Macaca fascicularis: one gene and its partner. The protein of the gene in region 1 purifies or fractionates together with the protein of each later gene. This does not show direct contact. Links are inferred from orthologs where the notes say so. Each region holds a gene or a part of one and is shown on either strand. Other genes may lie near its edges. The genes, in order: MIA2 and MIA3.

Region 1 (3,581 bases):
GGTAAATCATGTACTTTTCATAGTTTAACTTTTATGTCTAGATGGGTCAATGCCTTCAGAAATGGAATCCAGTAGAAATGATACCAAAGATGATCTTGGTGTAAGTATTGAAAGAGTGGAATTGTATCCATGTATTCAACAGCCTTCTTTTTTTTTTTGAAATGGAGTTTCACTGTTGTTGCCCAGGCTGGAGTGCAGTGATGCTATCTCGGCTCACTGTAAGCCGGGTTCAAGCAGTTCTCCTGCCTCAGCCTCCTGAATAGCTGGGACTACAGGTGCGTGCGACCACACCCAACTAATTTTTGTATATTTAGTAGAGACAGAGTGTCACCAGGCTGGTCTTGAACTCCTGACCTCAGATGATCTGCCCGCCTCGGCCTCCCAAAGTGCTGGGATTACAGGTGTGAGCTACTGTGCCTGGCCCTGAGCCACCGCGCCTGGCCTGAGCCTTCCAATCTCATGGTTTACTAGAATAGAAATAACAGCTAATAGTCTAGCTTTTGATATAAAGCTGATTTTTTCTTTTTGATTAATATACTTTCTACTTAGCATTAAAGCTGTTTCTTTTGTAGATGGTAACCTGTGGTGATAAAATACAATTTGCAGACTAGGAGTTTGAGTTATTTTAGTAGTTAAACAAGATTTTAGTTCCCCTCGCCCTTGGATTTTTATTTGAATATTTTAAAATATTTTTTTTTATTAAGATAATGTTTTTTTTGAAAATATAAACATAGACATCTTGCTTTTTCTTTTTTTCCAGTATATATTTGATAAAATAATATATATTTTGGTGCTCTTGGGTTATATTTCTGTTTTATCTTTAGACAGACTATTACTTTGTTGGTTAAAGCTGTTTTCTGTTGACTTAATAAAATATTTGTGATAACTAAAATGTGATAGCTAATAGATTAATGTGGAAAGCTGTTTGAATCTTTCTTTAGAGCTTTCTAAGACTATCATGGAATGCTTTCTGTCTAGATGGTTTCTTTTAAGCCTGAGATTTTAAGGAAAACAATTGCAAATTTGCTGTTTTAGTGACTGCTATATGTCAATTTGTTGTAGAATTTAAATGTGCCTGATTCATCTCTCCCTGCTGAAAATGAAGCAACTGGACCTGGCTTTGTTCCTCCACCTCTTGCTCCAATCAGAGGTCCATTGTTTCCAGTGGATACAAGGGGCCCATTCTTGAGAAGAGGACCTCCTTTCCCTGCACCTCCTCCAGGAGCCATGTTTGGAACTTCTCGAGATTATTTTCCACCAAGGGATTTCCCAGGTCCACCACATGCTCCATTTGCAAGTATGCTTTTTTAAACTTTTTTTTTTAAAGCTCAATATGTGTTTTATTAATCAGAGATTTAATTTTACTATCTGTTAATGTAGTAACACAGTGGAGGAAACATTTTTCTAGCATTCTGTGAGTGTACCATTACTTTTCCGAATTGGGAAGGCAGCCAGCCATAAGTGGACTATAATGAGGTTTCACCTTGATTCAGCTTAATAATATGGAATTATTTCTGTATTTTGGTAGTCAAGAAAATAATTGACTTTTTGCAGGTCTTATGATAAAACTAAAATCATCTGTACCTTATCTGGTAGCAACTGGTCATTTTGGCACTTAGTGAAAATAATTAAAACTTATATTCTAGCATTACAATTACTGGCTATTTTTTAGTCCTTTTCATAAGTTGTTCTGATGTAGTCCTACTTATTTAAAATTTAAAATGTATTTAATATGTTTGACCTAATTTTTGGATTTATTGAATTCTTTTAAAGCTTCACATAAGAAAAAGGGAATAATACATTGCTTTTATATTCATACTTTACTGTTTTGAACTATAAGGTTCTGCAGAATAAATAAGTGGTTACCAAATACTAGGCTTTTCCTATGAATGTCTCATATAGTCATTCCTTTCCTTATTTCTCCTCTCTTTTTAAAGTTAAAGGTGAATTAAAATGAATTTTGTTTGGGGGAATTTTAAGGTGGCCTTTGATATTACTGGAAATGTTTCAGTATAATATCAAATCAGAGTCGGGAATCACTGATATGAATTTTAAGTTTGGTGAAAATATTACATGAAAATGTTTTTTGAGAAGGACTTTGATAATGAAAGATAAAAATGTTATTTTTACAGTAAGTTTTATATATTTTGAAATAATTCCTCTTTTTTTAAAAACAGGTGTTAAGATAGGACAAAAATTACATAAAAAATTAATGATATTTCCTTTAATCTTCTGTATTGGAAGAGGTACATTTTTCTCAATGTAAAAAGTAATTTGTTAGATGAAGTAATTATCTGGTGTCAATTTTCAAAGAAAAGAATAGGTAATGGAACTTATAAACTTAATGATTTATTAGGGCACAGTACAGGTTCTTAAAGTTAAAAAATGTCTTTTACCAATCTCTTTGAACAGTGAGAAATGTCTATCCACCGAGGGGTTTTCCTCCTTACCTTCCCCCAAGACCTGGATTTTTCCCCCCACCCCCACATTCTGAAGGTAGAAGTGAGTTCCCTTCAGGGTTGATTCCGCCTTCAAATGAGCCTGCTACTGAACATCCAGAACCACAGCAAGAAACCTGACAATATTTTTGCTCTCTTCAAAAGTAATTTTGACTGATCTAATTTCCAGTTTAAGTAACTGCTGTTACTTAAGTGATTACACTTTTGCTCAAATTGAAGCTTAATGGAATTACAGTTCTCAGGATAGTATTTTGTAAATAAAGATGATTTAAATATGAATCTTATGAGTAAATTATTTCCATTTTATTTTATTCTAGATGGTATAACTATTTTAATTTGATTGATCCACTATTACATAAACAATAGTGGGAGTTTTATATATGTAATCTTGCAGGTGGGGAGGCTTTAAATTCTAAAGGCTATGTCTTTATGCCAAGAACTGTATTTACTGTGGTTGTAGACAAATGTGAAAGTAACTTTATGCTTAAATAAATTTTAGTTGATTTAAAGATTTGTTTGGCATTGATAATAATAAAATCAGCTAGTTTTTCTATAAGTTTGACTCTATTAATTAACTTTTTTCCTTTTACCAATAACTTTGAGGTGCAAAACTCAAACTTATATGGGTCTTTCATGTTCAGTTATGTTATGACAAATGTGCCCTCTTTCTTGTAAATAGACATGAGTGGCCCAAAGCAACAAATTAATACACTCTTAAAAGTCAAAATTGATTATATTTTAAAGAAAACTGGATATTATCTAATGATCAGTTGTAGACTTTTGATCTTCTTATTCACTGAATTTCTTGCACAGTTTCTTTATTGCTTTCCCTGCCCCCCCACCCCACTCTTCTTTTGTAATGTATTTACTATTTTCTGTGGGGAATATTGAGATTTACTACAGGATAACTGTAGTGAGTGATGTGTCATCATTTTGCGCTTTGGACTCAATAGCTTTAGTGTTTCCCTAAATCAGGTTTGTAGGTCATTTTAGGCTTCTTGCACATTAATATGATTATGGAGGAAAGGCAGTGAGGCATAGCTAATAAACATCACAATACTTATGTTGACCAGTTGGTTGTTATAGTATTAGACTTTTTTTTCAGTGCCAAAAGCTAGAAGA
Region 2 (3,828 bases), on another chromosome or scaffold:
AAAAGGGAACCAGAGAGTTTCAGGTAAGGTCCAGTCTCGTATCTGTAAGGCACTAACTACACATTCTAAGAGCATTTATCTATAGCGCACAATGGCTTTATGACTAAAAGGATTTAAATATATTTAATATTTAAATATTTAAAAAATTGGCTCGGAAGTGTGCATGATGGAATGGGGGAAATCATTCATCTCTGGTATACTGGACAGGTCTCCCCAGAAGATTGTGAATGTTTATTTAGGGGAAGAAAAGTATCTTTGTTGTTTTTTTAACTTTTCCATCATTTTATGGCTCCTTGTGTGTCAATTTGCTTACTGGTGGAGGAAAGGAAAAATATAGATTTACTCAATATTCCTGAAAGCAGATCTTAGTGACTGCCTAGAATGCTTATTTGGAGTCAGGTACCTACCTTAGCGAACCTTGTTTTCAAGTTGTTCTTGTGGCAGTAGTAAAATGGGAAGCCTCCTTTACACCATTCTTTGTTCTCTTACATTTTTATATCTCATGCATCTGTATCTCAGTAAGTTCCTTCTGAAGCTGGTTTATCTTTCCCAGTCCAAGGAAAATATGAGTCCCAAATCCATGTAGACTGAGAACCTGACAGCCAGGTGATTCTGCCTGTTTCTGACTGGGGGAGCAGAAGTATGACATAGAGGGCACAATGTAGAGAAGCTGATGGTCTTTCAGCTCCTTCTGGATGCGTTATTATGAAGTGAATTCCCAGAACACCAGGCATAGATGTTGGGAGTTGGGGAACCCAATAAATGACACCTCACTTTTCCCCACCTGTGCTCAAAACAAATTGAGAGACCCAGAAATTGGGCAAATAGGAGATCAAAATGACCCCGTTACTTACTGATAAAGCTGTTTGGAATGTGCAGAACTAATGGGCTTTCTAACATGGCAGTCTAAACTAAGATGGACTTATCCAGTCACAGACAGAGCTACCCAACTAGGGGTCTCCCCAGGCGGGACCGTCTCTGTCAAATGGACAGCATGGAGGAGCAGAATATGTGTTTTCTCTCCAGCAGGTCCCAAACAGAAAACAGGAATGGGACTGAGCAAACTCACCAGCCACATGAATCATTCTTCCCCTGGGGAAGAGAGAATGAAGGGAAGCCAGGAGTATTACTCAGATGGGAAAGTGGGTTCCAGTGTCCTATCCACCCACTGCCCAAGAACAGTCAGTGCCCAGTGTTGATGCAAAAGCTCCTCTAGAGCCAAACGTGAATTTGAGATTATCTCAATCATTAACATGGATAAGAGTTTGCTCTGGTGACACTTGGCTGTTGACACACTAATGTTTTTCTTTTTCTTGCAGGAGACGGATTTTGTTTGTTTTGATGGAGGAAGAGATGATTTTGATAATTATAATGTAGAAGAACTTTTAGGGTTTTTGGAACTGTACAATTCTGCAGCTGGAGATTCCGAGAAAGCTGTAGAAAAAACTTCACAGGATATGGAAAAAAACTCTGAATTATCTACGGAAAGGGAACCTGAACCTGAACCAGTAGAAGCCAACTCAGAGGAAAGCGATAGTGTATTCTCAGAAAACACTGAGGATCTTCAGGAACAGTTTACAACTCAGAAGCACCACTCCCACGCAAACAGCCAAGCAGATCATGCTCAGGGAGAGCAGCCTTCATTTGAATCTTTTGAAGAAATGCTGCAAGATAAACTAAAAGTGCCAGAAAGTGAAAACAACAAAACCAGCAATAGTTCTCAGGTCTCAAATGAACAGGATAAGATTGATGCCTATAAACTTTTGAAAAAAGAAATGACTCTAGACTTGAAAACCAAATTTGGCTCAACAGCTGATGCACTTGTATCTGATGATGAGACAACCAGACTTGTTACTTCATTAGAAGATGATTTTGATGAGGAATTGGATGCTGAGTATTATGCAGTTGGAAAGGAACATGAGGAGAACCAAGAAGACTTTGATGAGTTGCCATTACTTACCTTTACAGATGGGGAAGATGTGAAAACTCCAGCAAAGTCTGGAGTTGAGAAATATCCAACAGATAAAGAGCAGAATTCAAATGAAGAGGATAAGATTGAGCTAACTGTGCCCCCTGGCATCAAAAATGATGATAAAAATATACTAACAACCTGGGGGGACACTATCTTCTCTATTGTCACAGGAGGTGAAGAAAATAGAGGTACGATGGATTTAGAGAGCTCTAGTTCAGAGGAAGAAAAAGATGATGATGATGCATTAGTCCCAGAGAGCAGACTGGGGAAACCACAGTCAGCAACAGATTATAGTGACCCTGACAATGTAGATGATGGTCTTTTGATTGTAGATGTTCCTAAAACAAATAATGACAAAGACCCGGAAGTAAACACAGACCATCACATTAAAGGAAAAGGGAGGGGAGTTCAGGAATCCAAGAGGGGCCTGGTACAAGATGAGACAGAATTAGAGGATGAAAAGCAAGAAGGCATGACTGTGCACAGTTCTGCTCACAGCAATAACCTCAACTCTATGCCAGCTGCTGAAAAGGGTAAAGACTCATTAAAATCAGCTTATGATGATAAAGCAAATGACCTAAAAGGAGCAGCTATTCATATCTCAAAAGGAATGCTCCGTGAAGAAAAGCCTGGAGAGCAGATTTTGGAAGGTGGCTCAGAGAGTGAATCTGCACAGAAAGCTGCAGGGAATCAAATGAATGACAAAAAGATTCAACAGGAATCCTTGCGTAATGCACCACTCATGGGAGATAACCACCCTAACGCATCCAGAGACAGTGTGGAGGGAGACGCTTTGGTTAATGGGGCCAAACCTCACACGCTTTCACTGGAGCATCAACGTGAGGAATTGAAAGAGGAATTAGTTCTTAAAACTCAAAATCAACCTAGATTCTCCTCTCCAGATGAGATTGATTTGCCCAGAGAACTGAAAGATGAGGTTCCCATTCTGGGAGGAAATCTTTCCTGGCAACAAGAAAGAGATGTGGCTGCCACAGTCAATAAGCAAATGAGTGAGAAGATAAGGCTGTCTGAGGGAGAAGCCGAAGAGGACTCCTTGGATGAAGAGTTTTTTCATCACAAGGCAATGCAGGGCACACAGAGAGTAGGACAGACAGAACAAACTGACAGCACAGGAGGACCAGCTTTCCTTTCTGAAGCAGAAGAGGACGATTATCCCTCTGAAGAACTACTAGAGGATGAAAACGCTGTAAGTGCAAAACGGTCTAAAGAAGAAAACCCTGGGAATCAGGGCAGGCAGTTTGATGTTAATCTGCAAGTCCCTGACAGAGCGGTTTTAGGGACCATTCATCCAGATCCAGAAATTGAAGAAAGCAAGCAAGAAACTAGCATGATTTTAGATAGTGACAAAAGTGACACTGCTGCCAAAGGGGTCAACACAGGAGGCAGGGAACCAAATACAGTGGTGGGAAAAGAACGCCCTCTGGCAGATGAGAAAGCACAGAGGCAATCTGAAGGAAGTGACTTTTCTGACAGCATAAAAACTCAGACTCCAGAATTAGGTGAAATGTTTCAGAATAAAGATTCTGATTATCTGAAGAACAACAACCCTGAGGAACATCTGAAGACCTCAGGGCTTGCAGGGAAGCTTGAGGGAGAACTCTCAAAAGAGGACCATGAGAACACAGAGAAATACGTGGGCACAGAAAGCCAGGGTTCTGCTGCTACACACCCTGAAGATGACTTGTTCCTCTGGACCCCACATACAAGTGTAGAGCCAGAGTATAGTTACAAGAGGGAGGACTTGCTTATCATAAGCAGCTTCTTTAAAGAGCAACAGTCTTTGCAGCGGTTCAAGAGGTACCTTAATGCCTATGAGATGGAAGCCTTGCTACAAG

The links.
Region 2: the proteins of MIA2 (region 1) and MIA3 purify together in Homo sapiens (affinity purification with western blotting; 6 studies listed by BioGRID and IntAct, counting the BioPlex papers as one, with this or other methods). This does not show direct contact. The link is inferred for Macaca fascicularis from reciprocal best matches to the Homo sapiens genes MIA2 and MIA3.

Annotation. Positions count from the first base shown.
Region 1 is NC_088381.1:107,191,425-107,195,005, forward strand, and holds the end of MIA2 (melanoma inhibitory activity protein 2), read left to right. Parts: intron 1-41; coding exon 42-100; intron 101-1,062; coding exon 1,063-1,297; intron 1,298-2,412; coding exon 2,413-2,579; 3' UTR 2,580-3,015; downstream 3,016-3,581. UniProt on the Homo sapiens protein: Plays a role in the transport of cargos that are too large to fit into COPII-coated vesicles and require specific mechanisms to be incorporated into membrane-bound carriers and exported from the endoplasmic reticulum.
Region 2 is NC_088375.1:80,624,915-80,628,742, forward strand, and holds part of MIA3 (transport and Golgi organization protein 1 homolog), read left to right. Parts: intron 1-1,319; coding exon 1,320-3,828.